Linked DNA regions of Mytilus edulis. Each later gene encodes a partner of the first gene's protein in a complex. Links are inferred from orthologs where the notes say so. Each region holds a gene or a part of one and is shown on either strand. Other genes may lie near its edges. The genes, in order: leucine-rich repeat-containing protein 23-like, ropporin-1-like protein, dnaJ homolog subfamily B member 13-like and nucleoside diphosphate kinase homolog 5-like.

What was found.
Region 2: leucine-rich repeat-containing protein 23-like (region 1) and ropporin-1-like protein share a complex: the UniProt entries of both Homo sapiens proteins name them as parts of the axonemal radial spoke complex. The link is inferred for Mytilus edulis from reciprocal best matches to the Homo sapiens genes LRRC23 and ROPN1L.
Region 3: leucine-rich repeat-containing protein 23-like (region 1) and dnaJ homolog subfamily B member 13-like share a complex: the UniProt entries of both Homo sapiens proteins name them as parts of the axonemal radial spoke complex. The link is inferred for Mytilus edulis from reciprocal best matches to the Homo sapiens genes LRRC23 and DNAJB13.
Region 4: leucine-rich repeat-containing protein 23-like (region 1) and nucleoside diphosphate kinase homolog 5-like share a complex: the UniProt entries of both Homo sapiens proteins name them as parts of the axonemal radial spoke complex. The link is inferred for Mytilus edulis from reciprocal best matches to the Homo sapiens genes LRRC23 and NME5.

Annotation. Positions count from the first base shown.
Region 1 is NC_092356.1:18,674,141-18,681,996, forward strand, and holds the start of leucine-rich repeat-containing protein 23-like, read right to left. Parts: upstream 3,004-7,856; 5' UTR 2,925-3,003; coding exon 2,784-2,924; intron 908-2,783; coding exon 795-907; intron 1-794. UniProt on the Homo sapiens protein: Essential for sperm motility and male fertility. Plays an important role in the proper assembly of the third radial spoke (RS3) head and the bridge structure between RS2 and RS3 in the sperm flagella.
Region 2 is NC_092350.1:52,033,161-52,040,741, forward strand, and holds the start of ropporin-1-like protein, read right to left. Parts: upstream 3,013-7,581; 5' UTR 2,886-3,012; exon of another isoform or gene 2,834-2,885; intron 322-2,833; 5' UTR 304-321; coding exon 167-303; intron 1-166. Other genes in the region: HORMA domain-containing protein 1-like, read left to right, coding at 7,093-7,137. UniProt on the Homo sapiens protein: Functions as part of axonemal radial spoke complexes that play an important part in the motility of sperm and cilia. Important for male fertility.
Region 3 is NC_092353.1:43,375,955-43,382,993, forward strand, and holds the start of dnaJ homolog subfamily B member 13-like, read left to right. Parts: upstream 1-4,038; 5' UTR 4,039-4,123; coding exon 4,124-4,191; intron 4,192-5,666; coding exon 5,667-5,773; intron 5,774-6,443; coding exon 6,444-6,605; intron 6,606-6,930; coding exon 6,931-7,039. Other genes in the region: cilia- and flagella-associated protein 47-like, read right to left, coding at 299-527, 982-1,028, 1,415-1,622, 2,007-2,161, 3,625-3,774. UniProt on the Homo sapiens protein: Functions as part of axonemal radial spoke complexes that play an important part in the motility of sperm and cilia.
Region 4 is NC_092352.1:35,868,204-35,875,989, forward strand, and holds the start of nucleoside diphosphate kinase homolog 5-like, read left to right. Parts: upstream 1-4,768; 5' UTR 4,769-4,824; coding exon 4,825-4,968; intron 4,969-6,672; coding exon 6,673-6,878; intron 6,879-7,218; coding exon 7,219-7,319; intron 7,320-7,786. Other genes in the region: fas-binding factor 1 homolog, read right to left, coding at 305-361, 851-881, 4,540-4,548. UniProt on the Homo sapiens protein: Functions as part of axonemal radial spoke complexes that play an important part in the motility of sperm and cilia. Does not seem to have nucleoside diphosphate kinase (NDPK) activity.

The DNA.
Region 1 (7,856 bases):
ACCTACATGTATACATAGGAATGACATTATGTGATAATTTTTATAAATTTCCTGATACAAAACTTTGAATTTTTCGAAAAACTAAAGATTTTCTTGTCCCAGGGATAGATTACCTTATTTGGCACAACTTTTTGGAATTTTGGATCCCCTATGCTCTTCAACTTTGTATTGTTTGGCTTTATAACTATTTTGATATGAGCGTCACTGATGAGTCTTATGTAGACGAAACGCGCGTCTGGCGTACTAAATTATAATCCTGGTACTTATGATAATTATATTAAAACTTCATACAGTAACATCTAGGAATACTGTTGATTCTATATTTTTGTAGGTAAAATTGAGAATAAAAATGAGGAATATGTCAAAGAGACAACAAACCAACCAAAGAGCAGACAAGCCAAGGCCACAAATGGGTCTTTAACTAAGAGAGAAAATCCTGCGGTAGATATGATCCTCAGCTGACTCCTAAATAAAATTGTGTACTAGTTGAGTACATATAAATGAACTAAATTTAAAAAATCCTTCAAGACTAACCAATTTTTGTTGATTTTCTATTTCATTGTTTTGCAAAAGTCTGCATTAAAGCAATGTAGTAAATGACCAACATAAATGTATCTGAAAAATGTTCAAATGTTACAACTCATCCCTGACATGCTTCCGAAAAAGTATGATGTTCTGTTGCATAGGTTTTTTTTTGAGAAAAGTGAAAGGACAGACAAGGCATAAATTTACAACATAGCCAACAATTCTAGTGTGACAGGGGTATGAAAAGTTATATAAATTAATTTATTTACCTATCATGAACATCTAGTCGAACATAAGCATGAGCCAGTCCATCTCCAGTTTTACAAAGCAATGATAAACATTCTGCTATATGTTCCTCTGTTAATGCTAAATCTGGTACTTTCTGTAATTAAACGATACAATTAATATCAAATCATTCAAATGATTAAAAAATATGAAGTGTATTAACCCTTTCAACGCTACACAAAAAAATAGAAAAATGGCTGCTGCTGCTGCATTTTTTTTGTGTTCATTTATTAGAACAGTATATTCTTTTTCAGACTGCTGTATCTTTTTTATTATAAGAGATACAGAGAAAGTTATTGCATGAAAAATGTTCAGGAGAGTATGAACTGTAATGTAAGGCAGTTATTTCAGTAAAATTTTTATCAGGTTACCTGCATTTTCAGGTAATTAACAGGTAAAAGGTGTAATTTATTACATTTGTGTTGAATTTGGAATAAAAACTACTTTTAGTCTTCATCTATTTTGTTGTTTTATCTGCCATATAATAAAGAAGACACCAATTGCACGATTCCGTAGCGTATTGCACCATACACAACGTATTATGTAATCGTGGCACAAATCAGTGGCTCCGTTCTCAAAATTTCAGTCAACCTCCGTTTTCCCCCCTTTTTTCTACGTCTCGTAATGATCGATCAAATCATATTTCCCACACGAATTGAATGTAATAAACACATTGAGATAACAAGAAACCTTTTAACTAATCCTCGTCGTCAGTTTCGCCATAGAAATGCTGAAATATTTCCATATTTACAGCTTCGTTTCCGATTTCCGCCATTTGCATTTGTCAAAATATTTGTTTTTATTTTCCTTCAATTTTCCTTCTACTGCATGATTTTACAATAAAAATTGCCGGGATTTCAAGCGCAAATGAGACCTTGCATATCCTCAATTCATACAAGGAAAAATTAGAGAGGACCCGAATGAAAATCGAATGGTTTAAGAGTCCTAATGAAAAATCCGTTGTCATCGCGGCATATGCCGCGAATAGCAGTGGCGGACGGCGTATGTCATCGCGGCATATGCCGTGTATAGCGTTGAAAGGGTTAATGCTCTTTCTCGAAGTAGTTTACTTTAAAAAGAATATAATTTTACAGTATTTCAGACTTCATTACTGATATTGTGTACGCCATTGAAGTAACTAAAATATTTTCGTTATAATTTTTTAGCATCTGGTGGATAGATAGTATTTGATTTCAGAAATCATGATAGAACATAGAAATCATAGAAATGTCCTTTACTATCAAACACCAAACTGTCATTTTCGGCTACCTCTACCATCAAATTGGTTAAAAAATATCATGATTCGTCAAAATATCCTTATTGTGATTAATCAGAGATGTCTGATTATTATCTATTTCCTCAAAATATGTAAATTTTTTATCGTCATAAAGAAAATATATGGTTAGATCATATGTTTTCATACTACATGTACTATGCATGTTTTTCCAAAGGAAATTGTGACATCACAGTGCATTTGTAGCAGGGCTGCCAAGTCTCACACATTTAGCGTGAGACTCACGCATGTTCATGCTTTTTTTGGCAGCATTTTCCTTTAATCTATTATTTTTTCTCTTTGATCTTTTCCATTTTGGCCAAATCTCACGCATTTGCTTCATGAAATGTTGGCAGAACTGTTGTAGTACCAAAACACATGAGACAAGATACATGCACTAAAAACTGCAGTAAACATCATTTGTATACCCCATTATAACCAGGGATATCATTTCATAAAAATAAAAATAAAATATGAAAAAAATCAAAAATTACAAAATGTAAACATTGTCATTGAAATTGAAAATAAAGATGATGTTGTCAGGCCATGCACATTGTTTCCTACAATGTACAACAAATATGTTTATTGTTATCAAATAAATCTAAAACATCGGTCTTTAACATGCACCTATACTACGATATATATGATTATGATATAGTATTTTATCCCCTCCCCCTTTTTTCATTATCCACATAAACACCTCCTCTTCTTCTACTTCTTCTTCTTCCCCAAGTTTTTCTTCCTCTTCACCAAGAACTTCCTCATCTCCCTCTTCTCCTCCTGCTTCCTCTGCATTATCCTCCTCCTCTCCAAAAGTTTCCTCAGCTTCGTTATCTGACATTTTGCCGCACAAACCAAAAACACGTTGTAAATGTTTTGATTACAAAAAATGGCCGATTGTTGTCAAGGTGACGGTACAGTAAAAATGTTTAAACTTGAAAAATCCCGTTCAGTCGATTTAAATTTAGGAAGAGAGATTACAAATCAAGTCATTGTTCACTTCAAGTCAAAGTTACACGGAGTAAATTAGGCTGATTTTGAGAATTTCAGAAAACTGGACTTCACGAAAAATCTCGCGAACTGTGACAAATAGCGAGATTACTTTTTCAACTTTTACACATGATTTGGGACAGAGGTAACTAGCAAATTTTGTTCCCCAAAAAGTTGTTTCTGGCTTAAAATAACCTTGCTTTATGTGGTATGTAGCTAAGTTTTTAATTTATATAGATATTTTAAAATGTCACAGTCTATATTTTTGTTTTTCAAGTGTTTCTTGAAATTTAAAGTTGAAACATTTTTTTGTACTTTTCAACCCAAAACGGTTTTATCAAAAAATTTAATGTCAAGGTTTGACCAAGCCGGTTTATTATTTTTGATTAAGTGCCAAATTTTTAAATCATATCAAATTAAGCACACCTTGTCATTTTGTGATAAACAGCAAAAAGAAAAACTTGACATTTTTGAGAAATTAAATTGCAGACGAATTTTCGTGATCACTTTTCTCGTGCAAAAGTAAAGGTGATAGATTTAAACCAATTTATATACAATTGATATTACCTTATTACATGTTTAATTACTCATGAAAACTTGTTAATTATTTATCATTATACATAAACACCTCTGTTTGCCCCTTCATATGGTTTTGCATGATTTCTGGGACTAGTATAAAAGTTCCAGATGATTTCTTGATCACTTTTGAATGACATGATAACAGAGATATTATATAATTTCTTGACAACTTCAGTGTGTAATTCAACTAATCTTCTTAACATTAGACTTAATATTTACTTATTTGTTTAAATTGGAAATAAGTTACCATTTTCAGTACCTCCCAATTAAGGTTGTAGGCAGAATGTTTGGTTCAATATTTGTCTAAAATCAAACTATGTTTTAGAATTTTTGAACTAATTTGCTATTATATTTAGAAATTTTCTCTGTGCAGTAAAAATGCATCTCTCCCTCTTCTCCCTCCCATAGACAACCCCCCCCCCCCCCAGGTCAAGAAGATAAACAATAATTTCAAAAGGCTGTCCCAGGTAGACAAAGTAAAAATAATATGGGAAAGTTTGTATCATCTCAATCAGGTCAGACTAACCTCACATCATTAGCCAGCGGCCAGTATCAGATGACCCCTCTTTTTTCTGGAATAAAAGAAAAAGCACTAGTTATCTAGGCTGAGATTCAGATTGAAGTTGGACATTTAAAGTCATTACCCCAAAAATTATCCCTCCCTTTAGTCTTTAGTCTTCACATTTACATACACTTGAGTAGCAACTCTGAAAGAAGATGAAAAGTCCAACATGTGAAGTTTTTAATTTCTAATCAAAGAAATTGATAGCTGCATATTATTTATAATGCAACATACGTACCAAAATGTGGAGGTCATTTGCAAAATTTGGCAGTAAAAACATATGACCCTTTTCAAGAACTCCTGATAGATTTTGAGTAATAAAGGGGGAGGGAAAGCCTTCTATGTTGTATAAACTTAGTGAAATAAATTTTATGCACAAACATTATGTAGAAAGATTGATAAATTAAAAGCTGCATTTATATATTAAAATAAGAAGATGGGGTTTGATTGCCAAAAAGACAACTCTTAACTCCTAACATATTTTATTTTTTCTTAAAATTAGTAATAAAATTGTGGTAAAATCTATCTATAATTGTAAAAAATAATCTTTTGAGAAACATACATATATGTATCTTTACAGATAGGATTTATATAAAACTCCCAATGTTTTGTGTAATATTAGCTATTATAAGTTGTTCCTCAATTATAAAGTTGATTCTCCAAAAAAGTATGAAAATTTATACCCATGGCAATGAATATGAATTGCTTTGTTTGCATCAGTATTTATAATTTTATTATGAGCTACACACAAAAATATACAAATATGGACTTATTATCTCAGTTTTCAAGCTATAATGTGTTCTTAAAAGTGGTAGATAAAAATATATAATCATCTTTTGCCTTAAGAATTAATCACATTTATACAAGCTTACAACATATAATTTCAATCAGAGGCTCTTTCATGGGATCCAAGAGGGTCCCCTCTCCCCTAACCCCTTTATGATAGCTCCTTGATCAACCATAGATATTTCTCTATCCACCCCATCAACTCAACACATTTAAAGAAAAAAATACCCCTCCCTCCTCTACTGTAAGAATTCTGTATAGATATATACTTAAAAGTATATAGACCATAAGATGAGGCTATATAATCTTGATCTCAGATATCAACTTTTTGCAGAGATGCAGAGACTCTTATAAATTATGTATTAACCTTGGTTTTGCATGATTTTGCTTTGAAAATCAGCTGATGAATTGAAACCAAAATAATTGATATAATTCAACAGTAAAATCCTGCAAGAATTAAAACTGTAAATTCTGTTTGGAAAACTGTTATTCATAATATTGTTTTAAATGACAAATCTCATAATTTGTAATAGATAATACAATAGATGTAATTAAAAGAATTAATATTTAATCACCAAGCTGTGATAAACTTGAATTATCTGAAAACATGACATGATTAAATATTCAGATACCTTCATAAAAAGGTAAATTGTCAATCATGTTAAATATTACACTCAATTAAAGATTAATTCAAAATTTTATTGATTTACAAGAAAAGTCCTGTATAGAAATTTTTGTTGCCATGGATATGTGTAATCACCACTTTAACTGAACAGGTTTAGCATGTTTAGTCATGAAAATTGTCCCAGGTACAGAATACAATATAAATATACCCTGAATATATATATATATGTAGTAACTTTGTTATTTCTTTTTATGTGAAATACAGGTAAATATTATTAGTGTTGACTGTTTAAATAACTATGGTAACAAGATAGCTTTTGTTTTGGGACATGAAATTTTAAAGATTAAAGCCATATCGGAAAATTGGCTAAATCCCAACTGTAAAATAAAACTTAATTTCTTTGGAATATAATAACCACTTTTTAAATTTTTAAGAAGTTTACTGTAACGAAAGAATTTTCAAAATGGAATTTAAAAATAATAAAAGAGTAGATTTATAATCATTTTTAGTAATAGAAAATTGTCAAGGATGAAAATATGGGACTTTTTCATAAGAATAACAAAAATTCAATGGATTTTAAACTTTATATGAATATTATTAATGTTTAACTAACATGATTTAAAAGTGTAAGTTGTTTGTCAAATGATCTTCAGTTGCTAGTAGTAACTTGAACAATATATTTAGGCGTAATAACTTTTCAAAACTTTTAAGGGAAGGATAATAGAAAATTTTAGCATGTGCAAATAAAAGTTCTTGTATGTATTTATCTATAATATATACAGTCATTGCCTTTGAAATAATGTTGTTGAGATTGCAAAAATGTGCAAATTATCATCTCTGACTTGAATTGAATAAACCTTTTAACTATTCCAGCATACTTAAGCAATTTTTAGCAGAAGATTCAACTCAGTTTGGCTGTTCTTTTTGCTCCTAATTAAAGAGCAATCAACATGCTTACTCAAATTTGTCAGAATATAAATTCATCAGCATGGATGTTTGGCTTGTTTCTTTTATATTTGGAACATTATTACATGTGTTATAAGAATAATAGCTTAAAGTTTTCAAAACCACCTTGAAAAAGCCTGGTCCCTTCTAAATTTGTGGTAAAATCTCTTTCCTTGTGCCTTGTGGTAAAATTCTTTTGTCTAAATGCTTTGAGATAAAAGCTCTGTAGCTCTGCTTAAAGATGAAACTCATGTCTCTTTGATTATAACTTTAAAAGCCCCTTTCCATCCCTTTACTTGTGCTAAGTTATGGATAATAGCTCTGTTCCCTTGCTTTGTTATTAAAGCTGTCCCTTATGCTTTTTGCCAAATATTATTTGCAAAGCATAATTTCCAGTAAAGCAATTTTTTGGGGGTTTCATAAATAAGATAAAATATTTGCTTTAAGTACATGTAATTGTTTATAATTATTGAAAATGTGCAGCATATATATTAAAGGAAACATTTGTGCACACAGTATGCATCTTAAATAAATAATAGGTACAACATAAATTTTTTCTTCATACTGTGCTGAGTTTCTATTATCAATTTGGAAAGAAAGTGTTTTGCAGAGTTATTTCCCCTTATTCAAAAAGTTTTTCACAAAAATTTGACTATGAATATGAGTAGCTTTATTTGAAGTTAGTTAATTGGATTTCCTAAGGAAGTTGTACAAGTTTAAAACACTAAAACAAGATTTCCTGCCCTTAAACTTTCCTTTCAAATTCCATAAATTTCAGTATTTAATGTGGTATTTATATAATTATACTTAAAAAAAAAAGAAAATTGAAAATCGTTAGGATTGCCTTTCATGAACTTTGTAACTTTCTGTGCTTGTAACCTAAATGATTAAGAGACATAAGACAATTAATCATTTGTTGCATAATCTGAACAAATGTGCATAAAAAATGTACTGAAGTATTTCTATTAAAATTTCTTTTAAAAAAGTGCATCTTGGTTGAATTTGTGAAATTTTAACTATAAATTAACCATGATGAAATGATTTCACAGTCTCAATAAGTATTTAAATTTAAACCTTAGAAAACATATATATGGATGTCCGTCACACATAATCATCCGCATCTAAAACTGTGAATCAGTTATTTATCGTTAAATATCATTCGGCATTGTTTCTTTAATTCGTATTACATTGTCATTGATTTATCATTTATGTCTGAGGATGGATGAAAATCTTAGTTTATGTATTAATCCCATCTCAGTACTTTTCTCAACTTACGAAACTCACAG
Region 2 (7,581 bases), on another chromosome or scaffold:
TTAAATAGGTTTCTTTAGTTAGACAAATTGTACTACCCCCTCTCCCACAACCCAAAATTAAAATTTCAGTTTCCCTAAATTAAAAAGAAGATATTTTTTATTTTAAATTCCTAATGAAATCATCTCAATATTTATAGTTTAATTAGACAACTAAAAGTGTACTTACGCAGCAGACCATGCTAAAACATCTTTTGGCTGTGTTCTGATTGCAGCTTTTGTAAACTGTTTGAGTATGTCTGGTAGCTGAGGAGGAATGTTAATCTGCTGAGAGCAGTAGTATGGCTCATCTGGATTGGTAGGCATTTTGGAATTAGGATTCTCCTAAAAATTAAAAGGATTTTTTAAAAATAAAATTGAGAATGGAAATGGGGAATGTGTCAAAGAGACAACAACCCGACCAAATAAAAAACAACAGCAGAGGGTCACCAACAGGTCTTCAATGTAGGGAGAAATTCCCGCACCGGAGGCGTCCTTCAGCTGGCCCCATAACAAATATATACTAGTCCAGTGATAATGAACGCCATACTAATTTCCAAATTGTACACAAGAAACTAAAATTAAAATAATACAAGACTAACAAAGGCCAGAGGCTCCTGACTTGGGACAGGCGCAAAAATGCGGCGGGGTTAAACATGTTTGTGAGATCTCAACCCTCCCCTATACCTCTAACCAATGTAGTAAAGTAAACGCATAACAATACGCACATTAAAATTCAGTTCAAGAGAAATCCGAGTCTGATGTCAGAAGATGTAACCAAAGAAAATAAACAAAATGACAATAATACATAAATAACAACAGACTACTTGCAGTTAACTGACATGCCAGCTCCAGACTTCAATTAAACTGACTGAAAGATTATGATTTCATCATATGAACATCAGGCACAATCCTTCCCGTTGGGGGTTTAGTATCATACCATCATAACATATATGAGAAGAACATAACCCGTGTCATGCCAACAACTGTTTTTAAAAGTTTGTTTTTCTAATTTAAAAGGACTTCATAACCAGCAGGATATAAGGAGATACAATGCAACAGCAACCCAATAGGCAATAATAAAAATAACCAATATACATCTAAGAGGAAACAGTACACCTTATTGCTATTTGCATTACTGGACATCACAGCAGTTCCCGTAAAATTTTGATGTCATATGATAATAGAAAATATCTGACGCCACAATGGAAAAGTCAGGGTTCTCGCTAAGGATTTTTGAAGGCGAGTCCAGGGACTCATCATTTTTAGGTATGATGAGTCCAACAGCAAGAAGAAAATATTTTATTGCAATATAAAGTAATATTTGAGTCTCCATTTCCTAACAGAGCAATGAAATGAAATCAAATTCAGATCACTTTTAAACTTTTGCTATAAAATGATGATATTTGTGTTTAACTGTGTTCAGTTTATACAAAATATTTCAATCTTGATGCATCTGTGGACTCACCAGTTTTGAAAATGTGATTGTAAGTCAAGCTGCACAGATTTTCAAATAGAGATAAAATGTAAAAACAATGTCCTAAGCATTATATCAAAATTAAAATTATCAATATACTTTATTGCTATTTGTCCGCAACAACTGAACATGACAAAAGTTCCAGTAAAAATTAAGTTGCTAACCAAAATTTCAAGAAAAAATTCCATTGTTGCCTTTTATGAAATTTGCGCATTGCAATAAATAAATGTATACGTCCTACTTGCGGTAAATTATCCCAAATAGGAGAAGTATTATAAGACATTACATGTATAACATTTGGGGAAAAAAATCCCCAACCTGTGATTTTCTTTAACTTTTATTTTCAAAAGGAGGTCGAGTTACGAGAGATTTCTCGACCTCAAGACTCAAATATGCAAATATCTATACTTTTTCACCTCCTTTATAGGAGATCGATGTTTAACATTTAGTAGCCAACCACTATTTTTCACCTCCTTTACAGGAGATTGGTATGAAGCATTTAGTGCAACCACGTTAACAATCTGAAGCTCTCAGACATTTAGATTACTTGCATCGTAAATGTACAAGGAGTTAGATTATTGTCATTTGTATAAATCATCACTTTTTTCTCATGGTCACATGAAAATCTAAGGCTGTTAGTTGGCACCAGAAGCGACGAAGCAGCGCATATATTTTGGATGGGCAAATATCCACTTTTTGATATGGGACGAGCTCTGACGTTACACGGCCCCAGCTTGTCTGGCAAAACAGCCGTTGGACGTCAGATTTATCTCGGAATAGTCATCAACTAGCAAAGACATGTGTTGATGAATTTTCATACAATGCAGATGTATAAGTACTGAAAGGTTAATATGGTAATATTCTACATTTACATTTACATGTAAAGTGTCAGTGCCAGTGGCGTTAGACTCAACTTAGAGCACTTTTAGATATTTTTTATGTCCCAAAATGGTGTTTTGCATGGAAAATTTATACACCATATCGCTAATCACGGCTGACCCGGCCGCTTGAACTTTTGGAGCATACAACAATCACTTTTCCATTGTGGCGTCAGATATTTAGTTTTTGTCAAAAATTTACGGGAACCTGTGTGATATCCAGTAATGGCAGACAAATAGCGATAAGGTGTATTGATCAGTTACCATATCATGTAAACTAAATGTGTTGTTTCTTTAATCAATCTTATGAGATTTACGTACGCAAATCGTCAAAACTATAAATAATAAAATAAATTCTCTGAAAAAGTGAAATGCTTGAAGTAAGTGAAGACTGCAGATAACAATGGTCGTATTTTGTCTCGGAACTAAATGAAAGCTTTTCGTTATGGCAACAATCAAATTCAATGTTTTTTGTACAATAAGTAAGTATAGGGCTTTTTACCTTTTGAGATCTTGAGACCTGAAGAACTTGAAATAAACACACACTAACTTACCGGATGTATTCAAATGTTGTGATAGCAACGATTGCTCGAAAGATTTCTTCCGGTTGAAGGATCGGTGTCTCCAATGCGCTTAAGATATTGACAATTTGCCTTGCTTCTTCAATCATTTAAAAGCACGCGAACCCGCGAATTTTTGTCGTCTGCTACACGGTCGATTGAAAAAGGAGGGTGGATGCTGGTCGTCTGCGCTATTTATTGAGTTCAGAAATTATCTTTAGGTGCAAGTAACTTCTTTCTAAAGAACAGACAACGACATACAAAGGTATAGTTTTGATGAGGCCAAGGTTGTGTCTTTGAGTGTGACTGTTTCAGCCATCACTCATGTCATGAATCCGTGTTTGATGGAAAATATTAGAATAAGAAAAACTTCATTTTGATTTAACCAAGTTCAAATCCTTGATTTAAAATACAAACATAAGCTCTGGGGACACTCATACTATATGAAAACTATATAAAAAAAAAAAACACACACAAAACAGTGCATCAGAAGATAAGAAAACTTATTTTAATTTGGCATAGAATTCAGGAAGGCATCACCAGAAAATTAAATAAGTCTTTCAAGACATCTTCAGTCTTCGTCATGATGTCTGATTACATAAGTAAAATATACTACGAATCTCCTGTAGTTGGTGATCGCAATACTGGTATACCAGTATTGTCCACAATACTGGTATATAAATTTTGTACCAGTATTGTAACTTTAAAAAAAAACCAGCAATACTGGTACATTACTGATATACCAGTATTGTAGTTGTATTGTTGACTATACTTTAAGGTGTATAATGAAAACTGAATTTTAAGCTTCTTCTTCTGTGGTTTTTTTTAAGCAAGATCAAAGGGAGATTAAATGAACTCAAAAAGATTATAGAGGATAATTGTGAAATCAATTATCAACCATGGCCAGTTAAAATAATAACTAAATAAACAAAATATTACTGTAATTAACTCATATTTTTCAAACAATTGTTAATTATATAAATAATTGCTAATAATTTTATCACATTTCTATATTTTATTTAATTCAATTTAGATAAAATAAAATAAAAGCTTATTATTATCTGAGTTAATGTTAAATAAATTCAAACAAACTATTACACTATAACCATGATAACACTGTAAATTCAGATTTACATAAAATTGAGAAAGGAAATGTATGCCATTTTAATAGGAGATAACTGTATTGTATTTTAAGCTCCGACGGCATCAATTGGGGATTTGATGGTCGCAAATTAAGTTTACTGGTGACACGTTAGCGGAGACAGTAAAAGGGTATTTGCGACCATCAAATCCCAAATTGATGCCGTCGGAGCTTAAAATACAATATTGTTATCTCCATTCTAATGAAACTGACAGAAAATAACGTTAAAACATGTATTTAAAATCTGTCATATGCCGTCTGCGCTTGTGCGTACGTCCCATAGCATCAATTGTCAATTGATGCCATGTAAGAAAGTGACGTTATCCAATCAAAATGAACATTACAAACGTTATTGCATTAGAATTTATATTTTTTACAGATATTTTAATACATGACATTGTATATGATCATATGCATTTGTTGGTCTTTATTTTCACAATAAACAAGATAAAAGATATCAATATCCATTAAACATAAAAATTTGCTTAATAGGGGAACCTGATTATAATCAAAATAACAAGTTTGTCTACTTGAATGTTAAGGGTAGTTTAAAAAGCAATGGTTTAGTACCATTTGGGCAATACAACATTTTGTACAATTTGTAGCAGATATATCTACTGGTACAAATACTCAAAAACTAGTGCTACAATAAGAGTACAATACTGGAATACAATACTGGTACAAAATTTGTATACATGTACCAGTATTGTGCACAATACTAGTATACCAGTATTGCGATCACGAACTACAGGAGATCCCTACTCCTACAATACACCTTTAGGCCATGGAAAATTAATTGTTGGTTTCCCCTTTTAAACATGGGAAAATTTTAAAGACCCGGTAGGCAGGCTTTTGCATATTTTCAACACTTTAAGTTGTCTCTGCAAAAAAATAAATGACCCGGTCGGGTTAGGGGAAACCATCAATCATTTTTCCATGGCCTTATAACTCTCTGGAAATCTCTGCTTATTGACTAGAGAATCTGCATGCAACTCTTGAACTTTTGACATCAGTTTCCCGTAAAACACTGAACAATCGCTTTTCCATATTGGCATCATGTGATTTTTACTGTGAAGTCAAAAATATATATATGCGAACCTTTGTGATGTCCAATTTTGTTGAACAAATAGCAATAAGCATCAGAAAGAGTACATATGATGCAGTCAGCTGGTAAATCATAAAATCCACCCACCTAAGCTAGGCCTCATTTGTTGAAAGCAAATGGTTAAATAATATAGCGGATGAAATATTTAATTTTTTGAAGAGACACTGAAATTTTTTTGAGCCATTGTTCTTATCCTTCTGATCTGTAGCATGCACACATAAAACACAACAAAATAAAGCGAGCAACAATCAAAATTTTAGATATCTAGCAATCTTTATATATAGAAATGAAAAGATGTTCATATCAATCAAGCACAAACTTGAAACTGGCCAAGGGCAAAGTCTATCTCATCACAATATTTTTCATTTCAAAGTTAAGAGTTAGAATATTTTTCTTTTTACAAAAAAAAAAACCAGTATAACCTTTTAGATACTTTATCAATCTTTTTTTGGGTCAAGAAAATACCTTAATACATAGACACATCTTTGAAAGCCAAGGCTGACAATCTGCTTCCTCTCCTTTTGCCTTTGTCAGATTATTTATAATTATATTAAGAAGAAGTTCTGATCCATGACAATCATAACAATCAATTTATTTTGGTTACAATCACATATATATGACTGTATCCAATTAAAAAACGCCTTTATGTTGATCATATGTGAATAGTGACATATTATATAAACAACTGCCACTTACAAATTGTGCCATGTACAAGTCTTTACCCCTGAAACACTAGCTAGACACTATCATGACTATGTAATGACAATATTAATTCTAATTTCTAATCTCAACTCATTGAAAATGTTGGAAAGTTAGCATATGGGACAATATCCCTAATGCGCCTTGAAATGAGGAACTCAAAAGTCACGTGTAAACAAAAAATCTCTGTGTAGTGATATTTGACACATTTCTAATGATAAACAAATGTCTGAGCTGAACCATTTGTGTTAATTTAGAAAGTAAGGGAACACAGAATAAATGTGTAAAAACTATGGAGCCATTAAATGTGTTCAAAGTATTAAATTGTTAAAGAACTTATTGTGTCAAAAATGGGATTTTTTACCATGAGGAGCCACATCGCAAAAGGATACTCGGGGTTTGCTAATTTACGGAAAAATGAATCACACTTCGTACCCCGAAAATTTAACCACATATGTAAAAATGTCTCAGCTTCGAAACACTTAGCCATCATACATATACAAGTTTATGATATGGGCTGAGCAACAGAAGAAAACGTTACCATTACCGCCTATGTAGAAACAATTGCGCATATTGCCCCATATACATTTCTGGTTATTGCTTAATAATTACATTAAATGTATGTTTCACTATAATACGTTATTCTGATTGGCTAACTGTACATCACATGTTATTTCTTAAGCAGTTGTATCACACAATAAAACTTTTCATTCATGATGACACGAGGTCCCACAATAAAGTGCACAGGTAAATGAAATAAAAACTTGATGAAAGGCGTGTTTTCACGATCCTATAGGTAAAAATGTAATTATAAGTATTGAATGCTTTTTTTTGTAACTTTATAGGGTTGTAAAAGCGTTAACCGTGGGCACATTTTTAGTATGAAGCGCTTCCGCGCTTCATACAAAATGAACTTCGGTCAACGCTTTTACACCCCAATAAATTTACAAAAAAGAGCATTCAATTCTTAAATGAAATTTTGTAACACTGATACAACATTTTTTTCAAATCCAAACTGAAGATTATTTGGTCAAGAATAATGTAGTCTTGATTAAGCATGACTTCTATTGGTTGCACGATAGCTAGTGCAAAGCTGTATACACAAATTGTATCTTAACCAGCCACAGGTGAAGATTAGAGGACCAGCTTGAAACCATTGGCTAGAGAAGATGCACAAGACACCCTTGAAACAGAAATAATCCCTCACAAAAACTAAAAAACAATGCTTATAGATACTCTTCTTATTTTATTTTTAGATGTCTACAGCACAGATGCAGAGAACACAGGAGAAGACCAGTACAGTAAGAATTTAAGCTCTATAGACGAGGGTTTTCATGTACACCATTAAAGCAAGAGTAACTTCCCTTTTGTTGCCGTATTGATGTACTGATCACCATGATCACTAGATTAGAAAAAAAATTGTTTTCTGAACGTTTCATTTTTAAGCCTTGCTATATTCATCACTTACACCAACATCTAGATTAGGATTTTTAATCAGACTTGTTTGTTCTGCATGTTTCAATTTGGTTAATCAAACAAGCATTTACCAATCCATCATACAGACAAAGGGAAAGAACTCAAGCGCAAATGATATCATATCCACCCTTAGATCTATACAAGTGCAGTAGATATAAGATGTGGTTTGAGTGACAATGAGACCACGCTTAGTCACAATTTGTAAAAGTAAACCATTATAGGTCAACATACGGCCTTCAACACAGAGCCTTGGCCCACACCGAACATAA
Region 3 (7,039 bases), on another chromosome or scaffold:
AGGGTCAACAAGATATACCACCTGCAGCAGTCTGCCAGAAAATGATGAGGCAAAAGCATCCACAAAACTTTGTATGGTAAGGTTCAATTATGGTTGTTAAATAAAATGAAGAAAATATTCCAACCAAATAATATATATTTCCTATAAAAGATTGAAACCAAATATCTTTTAATTCCATTAATTATTAATACATTTATTTTTTTTATAAAATGAATGGTACTTTTGTTCCCGTAACATTCAACCGAATCTTGAGATAATTTGGAATGATTATTATTTTCTTCTATCTGACTATGCTAACCATTTCCTGAGCCACAGCATCTTCATCTAGTACAGCTACAAAGTTAACAGATTCTGGACTGTTATTGTAAAGTAATGCACACTGTGTTCTGTCACATCCATAATAGGTACTACCAAACTGTACACAATCTACTGGTGCCCCAGTATCTACAGATAAAACTTCTAGAGCTCTGTCAACTAATCTTCCCTTTATTGTCAATTGTTTAGGTTCTCTTCCTTCTAGTTTAACTCTGGAAAAATGTATTAAAATATAAAAAAAATGTCAGTTTATTTAGAAAAAAAAGCATTTATAATTGCAAATCACTAATAGACATAAAAAAGAGTTTAATAATTGAGATCTAAAACCATGCTGTAACAGATTATACTCATAGATATTTATAAGAAAATTAGAGGGTCTATCAGATCAATCATTGGCATGTCAATTTTTGTCATATTCTGTCGTAAATCAAAAACATTTCAATATTATAACACTTACTGTTACATTGTACATATGTACACCACTTGTCTGTTTTATCTTTTTTGTTTTGGTGTGGGTTTTTTTTTTGTGATATTTTTTTTTTCTCAATTAGAATATTTTAGATATGGAGCATTTGTATTGAAATGAGGCAGCAACCTAATAATATTATACAAACATCCCTTTTCCCATACAGAAATAATTCCATTTATGACTTAAAAGATACTTACCTCACATGCTCTTCTAAGTTTCCAGGTTCTTTTGTTACATATTCAATCTGCAAAGCAAGAATAAGAAAGGATTCGAAAATATTGCTGACACACAAAACAATATTCAAATCATATCAAAGCATTAATGTATGGTATTTTTTCTATTTATCAAAAATATATTGTAGCTAAGAATTTAAGATATATTTTTATTAAAGTAGCCATTACACAACATTTGAACAATACATTAATGTATGTTACTTCTATTTGGAATTTTGCTGCCCTAGGTAATTATGGTAATTTTTAGAAAGTCACAAAGTACATCATCTGGAAATTTTTTTACTCTTGAAAGATACTTAAACCAGCAAAATTGAAACAAATCGTTGTATTTGACAGGTATGCTCCATATTGCATGGTTTGTAGTACATGTATTTTTATTCTTGATTCACATATTTACCTTTATCAACTGTACACTTTTAGGAGGTACATTGCCACTGGTGGGAACAATGGCTAAAGGTTTGTCTCCAGAATACTTCAGTTTAAATTCTCCAGCCTTAGATCCATGATTTGTTAATGCTATTTCTTTTGATATTGTTTTACTGCTAGCTACAAGACTTCCAAAGTCAACAACTTCTTCAATTTCTAGCATAGGCTGCATAGGATATCTATTATTAAATAAATAATCCAATATAGGTCAGGGCAATTAACAATTTTAAACTTAAATTACTGTGGATAATTCCTTTAAAATCAATTGATAATCTGATTTGATAGGAAAAAATGTGATTATTACTGTTAAGTGTGTTAATACATGTAGTCTCTGAACTTGATGCAAGTTCTTCGGTCTTTGTTTGAAGATTCCCCAGTTATTGTAAAGAGTAAATTAATGCTAATAATCCCCCTCCCCCCCCAAAAAAATAACCATTATATCTTTGGAAATTGTGTCTCTGTATTATGATAGACTGAATATCCTTTTTAGTACAAATTTAAATTATTATTTGTGTACAATGTAAAATAAATCCTAACATTAAAATATGAAACTAAGAACTTACGCTATTAATGGTATTTCAGCCACATCTCCATCAATAGTTACAACCAGTCTATCACGAATCTCTTTTGCTTCACTGGTTTCAAATTCAATAATAGCTGGGACACATAAGCCTGATGCCACTGGCTTTGTAGGGTTTTTTACTTTTAGATTGAAGAACTAAAAAAGTAAATATTTCTTGATAAAAAGAACAATTCAATTAATTTTTAACCTTCTATTTAATAGTTTAATATTAGAGAGTAGCAAAAAAAGTATTATAAGTAACATTATAATAGATGCTTCACGAATTTATCAATTTAAGGATCAAACAATGTAATAATGATTTAAATGAAGTTATGAAAACATCAAATTGATGTTTTCATAAAATGTATGTTTTTACTTATCATAACATAATATGAATAAATAAAGTCAGTCATGTCTGCACTTTCAACAAACAGTACAATAAAATATTATATTGTACCTATAAAATTCACTAAGCTTAAAATATTACTGACACAACTGGTGTTAAGTCACATGTGCCCCTCTTGCTTTATGCAGTTTTATATCTTGAATAATTTTAAATACATGTTTTTTTTCTGCATTTGAGTTTTGGAGGATTGTAAATAGACCTTACCCCTATTTGCATTCTGAAACACCTGACTTACGATTATATGAACTGTTGACATTGTGCAAAAAAAATCCCCCCCCCCCCCCCAAAAAAAATAAGAGAATTATGATTTTGACATCTATAGGAAATGTCTGGAACATGGAAAAATATACCCTTTCACAGTTGAACTAGTATATATTTGTTTAGGGGTCAGCTGAAGGATGCCTCCGGGTGCGGGAATTTCTCGGTGCATTAAAGACCTGTTGGTGACCTTCTGCTGTTGTCTGCTCTATTGTCGGGTTGTCTCTTTGGCACATTCCCCATTTCCATTCTCAATTTTATGTTGAATAGGGGGGATATTTTCATAATGGCCATTATGGAGATGCAATACTATGAAAAAAAATATGGGGAAACATCAAGGAAACAGAACAGTTGATTGAAAACTAGCATAGGATTTCCTCTTTCTCATACTTTCTTTTACAGTTACATCATGTACATGTAACATCTATTTCGAAAAAAATATGCCCCTCATACACAATCGCTATTTGTCCGTCATTACTGGATATCACACAGGTTCCCGTAAAAATTTGACGTCATAAAACAAAATATCTGAAGCCACAATGCAAAAGTGATTGTTGTATGCGTCAAAAGATCAAGCGGCTGGGTCAGCCGGGATTAGTGATAAGGTGTATTCGACATGTTCTTAGAATGCAATATATATGTCAAAACCATGAAGTGGCTTTATCATAAGTAGTCTTCATGGTGTCAAAATTGGATCTTAATTTCAGCTGAAATTTAAGGATAATACCTATTGAGTTTCTAAAAGTAAGAATCAATTTTCAAAATCAGGGAAAGATGATGCTTCATTTTTTTGGGGAATTCAGGATAAATTTTTCTAGAACTTAGAAGCTCTGACTTGCTAAAACTGGCTTGGCAATAACCAATGACGAAGACTTGGTTCAGGGTTTATATATTATAGTTTATAAATTAGCTGTTGAATATACTTATGTAAACAGACGACTTAAATCCTACTCACTTTAGATTTTGGTCCATAAAATCGTATGCTTTTACTTGATTTGCTTATGTTTTTCACAGTGATGTTCAGCTCATGAACTGTGTTGACATCTGTGTCAAAGAATTCCAATTGCGGTGGTGAAATTCGGACACCGAACGTGTCACCTTCCATGATGCTTTCGTTCAAAAATGTCGATTATCTTTTTAAAAACTTCAAACTATTACCGCCATATTGTTTGGGAAGGTTGCTCGGGGATTTTTCAAGCAAACAAAATAAAACCGCATTTTCGTAATTGAGTAAAATCTTTAAATTTGTTTTGTTCTATTAAAATTAAAACAATTATGTTTCTTTATGAAGCTATTATATTTTATCTGATGTATCGAATAATCAATTAAAACAAAATCTGACATTAATTCAGTACGAAAATACCGTCAAATAAACTAGCTATACATCGCATAGCAACCACGCCATCTTTAGTAAACGACCCGATCTTACAGTCGTTTCAAAACAAAAATAAACGATGGGAGTCGATTACTACAATATTTTGCAATTAACAAGAAGTGCAACAGATGCAGACATTAAGAAACAGTAAGGAATTGATGTTTTAAATTACAGGATCAAACATAATGTTCCAAATTCATAAGAACTCACTGATTTGTTATTTCACTTTCAATCAGTTTATGTTTGTTTTTTTTTAATTAGAGAATAGGTATCTACAACTATCCACTGAACATCCATTTTTAGTCTGTTCAGTCTTCCATTTGCCAAGTAAGTCTTATTATAGACATCAGCTGTGCCGGCATGCAATGATTATTTGCCTGGATATGGTACCTTCCATGTCCATGGCCCATTGGAATCAGTCATCTATTCTGGTATCATGCCTTTCACTGAAAAAGATATAAGGCCTGCCCGTATCCCTGGTCTTACAAAAGTTTTCGAGCATTTTCGTCATTCTGTATTGTAGGGTGATATAGAATTAATTTATGTTCTATAAGTTCATAATCTTGATTCCCATACAACTGAGGGATGGAAGTCACATGACAGATTCATCTGAAAAACGTATTCCTGAACTGGTTCAGGCCAGATGAAAAAAGTACAAATGAGTACCCCTTTTCTGGGGGTCTCATTGGGGGGTTCTGATCCCGGATCCCGCTTACTGTTTTGTCAGATTCCCGTATCCCGCTTATACTATGTACCTAAGCAATTCTCATTTTTTTGTAATTGCCCGTGTCCCACTAGACCTTAATTCCCGTTTTCACGGCACAATAATTTGACTTTCCCGTTTCACGCTTACAAAAAATCAGCAATCCCGCGTCATGCTTAGACCCACCTTTCTATATTTATTTTTCTTTATTATTTCCTATTCTAACATGACGTCCTTCAAATGCTTTGAGTACACACCTGTGGTTAAATATGAATTTATTGCCAGGGCTGTTCCGATTGTACTCCCATGTCATATGTTTTTTTATGAATGAGATACCAAACGTCATAGAAAGATGACGTATGAATATGTGCATTTTACGGAAAAATACATGCTTTCCAAAACAAAAATCATCACAACAAGGAAACGTAAACAAACAATGCTAAATGTGGTATAAGCCGATTTTTTTAAAACATCATTATGATAAGTAAATTATAATTTAAATTCACCCAAAGCTATCTAGATACGTTATTGTAAAAACTTTAAGCATGTCACTAATTGAGTTTGCTTCGTTCTTTTACGCCAATTTAATAGTGTGTTTATTTATGGGAAAGGCAAATATTTGTCTCCACCTAGAGCGCTTCGATCCAAAACAATAGCCGTATTTGTCTTATCGCTCAGGGTAAAATATTTGTCATTAAGGGCCAACCCGTGGTAATATCACGAAATATTCCATCCCCCATGAATTATTTCTTAATTATACTATACTTACTGTATATAATTTTGGTTGTATCTTATAAAATTACTCGTGTTGTGTGCACCTGCTCAGATTTAAAGTGTCTTTTTTTGCTTCAAATTTATTTTTGTACAAAAATTGTATCCTTTATATATTTAACTTTACTTATATTTTTATTTTTTACAGCTACAGAAAATTAGCTTTGAAATTTCATCCTGACAGAAATGATGGTGATCAAAATGCTCAAGACAAATTCAAACAATGTGCTGAGGCTTATGACATTTTAAGTGATCGTAAGTAGTAAAGTAAAGAAAAACTTATGTACATGTATTTGCATTTGATAAGGCCTCGACAATAAATCACCACAAAGCGTCAACTTAACAAAACTGCTATAAAGTGAGAGTTTTATTGAAATTTTCAGAAGTATATATATATAAGCTGTGGAACCAATTTCATGTTGTTTTTCGTGATATTTTTTTCATACTGATATAAAGAGTTGAATTGTAAATGTTTCTTTTTTTTTCAATCAACCTTTGACAGAATCCATCCGATAACAAGTTTAAACAAATTTTAGGTTAATGTTTTGCTGATTGGTAATAGTGAAATAGGGGAATTTTTTCTGTAGGGTGGTTGATGTTACCTCCGTGTTAGATAAGTTATCTTCTGACAGATATTTTACATTTTTTTAGTTTTCCTTAAATATTTTTAGAGTTGAAACATAAACCATTTTATCGTAATGTATGATCTTTGAGAGGAAGTGAGTTCTTTGTCCAGAAGACATTATGGAGAGGTGAATTTCAATTATAGTTTCAGTCATCAACACCCTTAAAGATGAACAAGTGTATATATTATAAGTTGACTAAAAGATGATCTTAAGCAGAGTTTTTCTGTGTTATATGATGCATGAAGTTTTTTAATACATGTAGTTTAATACATTAATCTTTCAAAATCCTATTTTTTCAGCAAGAAAGCGGGCAGTGTATGATCAGTTTGGAGAAGAAGGCCTAAAGAATGGTGTTCCTCATGGTAGTGGGGAGGCAGGTGCTTGGACCCAAGGTTACACATTCCATGGAAATTCAGAAAAAGTTTTCAGAGAATTCTTTGGTGGTGATAATCCATTTCAAGGTAGGATATAAAATAAAGGCATACAAAGATATAAAATAAAGGCATACAAAGATATAAAATAAAGGCATACACAGATATAAAATAAAGGCATACAAAGAAGGATAATACGATATCAGAGAAATTACCAAAATCTTTCCTTCTTCAAAGGCCTCTCGATCAGGTCCATTTGATTTGTGTCCAAAACAGAAAATTAAACAAACTTACTTATTGAAAATTGCCAATGTATCATTAACCATCCTGATAGACCATAACATGTCATAACAGACCATTAACCTGGTTAATAATATTAATATTAAATACCGATTTTTTTTATTACTTTTTGCAGAATTTTATGACAGAGTTGATGGAGATTTAAGCATGGGATTTGGTGGTTTACAAGGCAGAGGACATAAGAAACAAGATTCACCAATAGAAAGAGAACTTTTCTTGTCATT
Region 4 (7,786 bases), on another chromosome or scaffold:
ATTTTAAAAATCTGTTTTGCAAAAAATGGGTGCGGGTGGGTCCGTCGAACAAGGAATCAAATTGGTGTGGCCTAAAGAATCATTCTTCCAATAAGAACATTAGCGTTAGCATTCCACTTCCAACTGGACAACATGCTAAATGAACTAACAAGAAAAACACCCCATTTTTCACTAAAATAAATTTGGAATTGATTTAAAAAAAAAGTCTAACCTACATCCTGGATATTTCGTTATACATAAATTTATATCTGATTAGGGTAACAAAACCTTATTTATCTTTAATGATAGGATTAAAAATTCCTACCTTCATGAAGCAGATCTCCAAGTAAATCATCAAGACCATCAGAACCTTTCTTTCCTTCTGAAATAACATAGATATATATATATATATATATATTATATAGATTATATGTGATAAGAAGGGCTATAAAAGTACATTTAAGTGTAGCTAAAAAATGTTTTATTTAGAATGTTAAACCTTTGTAGTCAATAAATTTTAAAAGACAAATTTAGAAATGATTTCAAAAATGAATAGAACACAAGCATCAAATCTTTTTATTACCATGGTAAAACATACATATTAGCATGTTTATCAATCCATTGCTGATTAGAAATTTAATGTTATTAATACATCATTGAATAATGGAGACAAATAAGTTCTTACCTACCATTAGACAGTTACATAGACTTTATACTCTGAATTTCAAAAAAATGTATTTGTTAGACACTTTTATAGATGTGAAGCATACCGGTACATCGACACCATTTGTGTATTGTAATGTAAATTTTGTTCTTTATATGAGTAATTTTAAATGATAAGCCAAAACAAAATAACTAAATTTATACATACTTTGCTGTTTCTTGCCACCAGGTGTCCAAGCCTAAAATAAAAACATGCATATGGTAGACTTTCACTTATAAAGATCAGATAAAAGGATTTACTATAGCTAAAAGACAACATTTATGTGTGACAGACTTTGGGTTAAATACAAAATAAATATGCAATGAGATTGAAATTACATTAACATTAACTAACAAATTTCAACAACAAATAATAGAACAAATACCCTTTTCAGCCTAAACTTCATTTCATTAATCAGTAGAAATTGTGAATCACATATGCATTGAACAAATTATTTTGCAAATTTGAAAGATTATTTCTATGTTAAAAAAGTAACATTTAATCATTTATTATCATTATCAATCCACTGTAGACTGTTAGAAATTACTTTATTGGTTGTTGGTTTTTTTGCGTGTTTAACATCACTTTCTGCACTGTTGCACTTTTTGATGACATTCAATTTATAATGTGGAGAAAGTTAGTGAGCCCAGAGAGAACCACCAATTTTCAGTAGGAAAACTGACAATCCTTGTCGATTTTAAGATTAAATCCAAGCACCCTATGCCACATGCTGGATTTAAACTTTATGACACATGGGGGATTTAACCTTAAAACAGGCAAGTACGGCAGCAGTTGTAACTATATAGACACGCCTTGTTGATTTATAAGTCGGTCAGAGCCTCCAAGTTGTTGCTACTCTTGCCTGAGTTGTTTGGTACAAGTCAATCAATCCCCAAACTGATGAGACCCAAACTTGATCTGACTAAAAGTAGATCCGTCCCACTTCAATCTGAACCCATGTCAATCCTTCCCCATAATAAGATAATGAATAATCTATGTTAACTTTATAGAATTTGGTGACATATTGGAATCAGGATAAATGGAATTTGTAAAAAGTTTTAAGTATCAATGACAGCAGGTGAGTGATGTATGCCCAATTTGAATAACTATTTAAAATAGATAAGAAAACAAGTGTAATAGATACTATTTATAATGCAAGGAAAATAAGTGTAATAGATACTGTTTATAATGCAGTATCAGCTTATTAATATGAAGTTATTTTCCATGATAACTTTGAATATCCGCAGGAATTTTATTCTATGAAATCATTATAATGCAGCATTCACACAGTATTGATTATGTCTCCTGTTTGAGATAAGACAACGATCAGACAAGAAAAGATACAAAGTAAGATTACTTTCCTTGATCAATCATTGTCAGAATGCAGTGTACTTTTGTTACTGGTTCCTGCTGATCCAGTAAGGTGACGGTCAGGAGAGATCAGGTATGATCAGGAGTGGTCGGCCAAGCACATTGACAGTTATGTGTGTCACATATGATTCCCGGAGATTCAGCCAATTTTGTCAAGAAGGATTACAATTATGACTATGCCATGACAGATAATCTGCAGTTTCGGATCAAAAAATTGAAAAATCAATGATTTGCATTGCTGCTTTTTCCGTTTGAATTTAGATTGCAACCTCATCTTGCCAAATGTGAACAATCTTTTCTGAAATATTTTTTTATTCGGGCCGGATTAACTTTAAATATGGTGACAGAATGTCGTGGACCGGCAGCCTGGGATGGATCGTCATGATCATGATGAAAGCGAGTTGCTCCATAATTGTAGCAGTGGATTAGATGTTATGGGTACACGACAACTCGTACTTTCGGCAAGTCGTACTCAACCAACTCGTACCCTATTTTTGCCAACTCGTAACCATGTTTTATTTGATATTATTTATCAAGTTTATATGCATAGTTATTGTAACTTTCTTTCGTATATCATTATATAGCAAAATACAAATAAAAAAACAACTTTCATTGTTAATAAAATTCAATCATAATTGTTTTAAATAAGCTTATAAAATGCTAATCGTTATAATCATTAGTATTCCTTATAATTGATTGTTTGAAATTGTTTGCACGACAATTTATTTGATATGCACATTAAAATAATTATGAGTACACAATATGCTAATCAGTGGTCATTAGTGGATAACATACCTACAAAAATAGAATGGATTTGTTAAAAGTAGAATAAACAGAGAGAAGTAAATGAAAACAAAAAATCGGTATAAGTGCGGCACTATGATCATCAAAGGCCGTTGAGTTATACTTAAACAATCACCATCCTCACCGAAAAGAAAATGCATGGCTTAAACGTTGTAAAAACCAAGCTTAGAGAAAAAATATATAAACTATGGTGAAATGTATGATCATCTTCAATTGCAATCATGGTTCGTCCACATTGTAATGTATGCAAGACGATATATAAATTGTGTATCTCAATAATATTTTCCCCTAATCCTGTTATTTGGTCCATGTTTGGGGCCAATAAGAGTATATATTTCAAAAAGCTGTATTTGTAGGACCCTTATTACTATTATTAATAGCAACAAAGCCTTGTAAAAATGTCTTACAATGTGTGTGTAAATAATAGTGATACTAGTGGGTTTTTTTAATACGCCTCTCGTAATTCTTCTAAATATTGGCTTAATTTTTATTTTAACTTTTATCATAATTGAGGTCAATACGTATATAAATGATAGTAGTATTGTGATGAAATATACATTTTAAAATATAGTGCAAACGTACATGCAGAAAGATTAGATCAGGTGTGAAGTTGTTTTGATAACGGTTAAATAATTAATGGCACGTTTCGTGTGTGAATAAGGGCCGATTAACTGGTAATCGACATACTTCAGGTGTGAAGCAATGATCAATCAATTAATCACCGGCACGCGAACTGCAATAAATAATTTGTGTATTAAGGTTTATGTTTAAAGGCTGTGGATTTTCTATAAAAATCTTGATTTATTTGCCACAAAGTCCTTTTTTTTTTTGAAGATCTCGTCTGATTGCTTATGAGACAACTCTTCACTAGAGACCAAAATGACACAGAAATGAACAACTATAGGTAATCGTACAGCCTTCAGCCATGAGCAAAACCCACCCATACCTCATAGTCAGCTATAATGACCAGTAAAACAATTCAAACGGAAAACGAACTGACTGCCATGCTTATTTAAAAAAAAAAAAAAAAAAAAAGTGTTAACACATCAACAAACAACGTGTTTATCGCAATATTCAGTAAAAATCTCTTCAAATATTCTAAGGATCGAGCACACCTTGACACTTGAGGATTTTTTTTCAGATACAAATCCTATCAGTAGATAAATCAGTAGGTGAATAATAAAATATGAAGCATTATAATGTTAAAAATATTTTCTACTAACACGAAAAAACTAAGACATGTTCAACGCAATGTTCAGTAAAAAATATCCTTTTCATATTCTATGGATCTACCTCAGGGTGCACTGGGATACTTCAGGGAGTTAAAATATCCATATCTACTGATATAAACGTAGAAAACTTATATTATAATGCTAAAAAAATATTGGGTACGACTTAGAAGAAGTACGAGTTGGTAGAAGTACGAGTTGCCGAAAGTACGAGTTGGCTGAGTACGAGTTGCCGAAAGTACGAGTTGACATGTATCCGATGTTATCATGTATTAAACTCTGATACCAACTATTTAGCATTAGCAACACAAAATGCATATCACAATCGGGAATACATGAGCAATAAATGAGAAATTCTTATTATACTGTTTGGACATGTCATGTGTGTGCATGCAACACTTTTTGTTCTTTTGCTTTGAAGTTGAAATTTCTGAGTTTTAATGCAAAATTTACATTAGCCATGATGTATTTCAATATTCCAATCAACAGAAATGTATCTATAGATGTGCAGCTTTAAACATTTCGTTTATATCTTTCAAACAAAATCATTTTCTTGTAGACATTATCTGCTTCCTTTAGTTTACGTTTATTGTAACATTGGGGAATACGGCTGTTGGTTATTTTAAACGAGGAACCAGTCAGTTCTTTGAAATCTCGTACGGTGCACCGTACGTGAAAATGCGAGATCATAATATATTTCTTAGCAACAGGACGCCATAATATTTTACAAGGGACAAAATGACAGGAGAGAACGAAACAGTTACAATGGATCCACCACATGTTTATGTGGAACGGACATTAGCAATTATCAAACCAGATGCAGTTAATAAAGCAGAAGAAATTGAAGATATTATTTTGAGATCTGGATTTTCGATTTTACAGGTAATTTAAGAAATAAGAAAACATGCTTTCCTATTCCTCATCAATCATCTTGTATACAGCAAAAGCACATCGAATTTTGATTACCAAGTCATTACTTAGTCTCATGTTTCTGTATATGAGGAAGGCGCCATCTTAAATGCAAGCTTACCAAGTCGTTATGTACCTACGGCCTATACATATTTTTTGCCGTAAGTAGAAAGTTTACATAGGATTAAACGCTTTTTCAAAGGAATTTATTGGTATATAAACTCTACCAGTGACTTGGTCCAGTTTATACACCAATAAATTCCTTTAAAAAGGCGTTTAATCCTTATAATTCTTTAAAATTGGAGCTAAGGAATATATTTTTCAACACTCGTAACCTCTATCACACGTAAATTGTATATTTTTTGTCATTGAATAGGCATGGCGCATGAATATATTTGTTGGTTAATGCAAAAATATGTACTCATTTAAATTTGCTATCTGATAAAAAATAAACCACAAAGACTCGAGTTATCATTCAAACAAATGTTTTTGTGTTTATTATTTATTTTAATGAGTACGTGCAGTGAAAATAAATTTTGTTCAAGTCGATGTTATTATTGCCGCCATCTTGTTTACATTGGTTACAAAAAGAAGTTCGGCCAACGTTGCCTATCGAAAAATAAACAACATCAAGATCAACTACCGGAAGTCATCTCCACCAATCATATCAACGTATTCACTAATATGCAAATCATATAATGTAAGAATTATGATGAAATATTTGGAGTCTGTATCCACCTTATTGATATTAAAAGTTCTGTCCCGCTTGTCCCTTGAATCTGCTTCTCTTGAACTTTTGACGTCATACAACAATTACTTTCCATTGTGGCGTCAGAAATTTTCTATTATGACATAAAAAAAATTACAAGAACTTTTATGGCATACAGTAATGGTAGACAAATAGCGATAAGGTGTATTTTTATCTGCTGAAAATAATTTTATTAACGATTAATGAGTCCAAATCATCATGATGTCTTGAAAGGCTATTAAACCTTTTGCTTTGACACACTAGCTATAGAGACTGTAAGGTGTCAAAGCAAAAAAATATAGCCTCTCAAGACATCATAATTATTGTGACAATTGATTCATCTTATTTACAATGCTTACATTCATTATCTTGTGCCATTTTCATATCCATTTTTGCTTCTTTTCAAATATTACAAAATTTAAAACAATAAGACGTTTGTTTAATTTCAAAACAACAATGTACAAATACATGTACAATTCATAACTTTATCAAATTGTTGATTTCCATGAAGAGGTGGAGGATTTTTTTCATCAATAATAGGACAATATTTAAATTTGTATTGAAACCAATGCTTTCTGTTTGTTAAATAATTATTTTATGTTAATGTCTAATTTAGCTGGGTGTTCATATTGTATTCCCATTTTCCTTTAAGGGTTCTTACTAAGGATTTTATTACAGGAGTCCACTGGGAAATCATAATGTTTTGCAATGGCTTGTCAAGCAGTGGGAGGAAGCAATTTTATTGATAAACAATATAATTTCAGTCCCCATGACAAAATGGAGCAAGGAAATTACACAAAATATAAATTATTTTTGAACTTATGTTTTAAAATGATGATACATTTGCTCATTTATAATTTTGTTTCAAATTATAATCCTGAACATGTTACATTGATTATATAATAATATATGTGCTAATTTAATTGCAGAAGAGAAGGGTCCATTTAACACCTGAACAAGCTAGTGATTTTTATGCTGAACATTTTGGAAAATTTGCATTTACAAGTCTGGTAGCTTACATGAGCAGTGGTCCAATGATAGCACTAGTTCTAGCGCGTGATCAGGCTATATCATATTGGAAAGAATTAATAGGACCGACAAATTCTGTAAAAGCAAAACAGACACACCCTGACTGGTATGCATATTAAAATGTTTAAAGAAAATCACAATTGTCATTCTCATATGAAGTTGACATAGTCGAGCTATCTCTCTTTTATTTGTAGTTTGGTCATGGAAACTGTTTTTTATGTGTGAAATGAAATTCAATGGTTTAAAAATAGCAACAAAAGAATATTCTACAAATGTAGTACATATATTGAAGTCATGAAGTGATACATGTTTAACAAATCATATTATGTTAATAAATACTATATCAAATATTGAAAGTTATGTAAGAAATCTGATCTGTTAAAAGGCTTTTAGTCCAATATAAAACCAAATGCTAATACTTGATTTACACCACCTTTGAATTTTAGTTTGAGAGCTATATATGGAGCAGATGATCAGAAAAATGCATTACATGGCAGTGACACTTTTTCAGCGGCAGAGAGGGAAATAAGATTCTTTTTTGCAGACAGTAAGTTGCATGAATACTGTATATCACTTTTTTTAGACACAAGATTATCAACTTCTCTATTTAAGTACAAAATGTAGTCAACATATAGACTAGGGGAAATTATATTTCTGGCCTCAGTTTGATAGTTATAATCATTTACCTACCTTCAATATATGTACAAATGTGCTATATTTACTTAATTTAGAGGGCAACATGACATCTAAAAACCATTTGCTTTGTCCTGAAATAATCAGTTCCCTGAATGTTATTCAAGTCATTTCCAATTAAGTTAATGTTTCAGGTTAAAAAACATGTACATGTTGTACAGGACTGAGGAATGATGATGTCTTTCATAAGATGTAATTAAAATAACATGCAAACTATCTTTCCCATTTTACCATATACACAAAGCCTTTGACAAACTAAGATATATTTTAAATAAGAATACCTTATACATGTATACCTTTATTGTGATATTTTATAGCTAA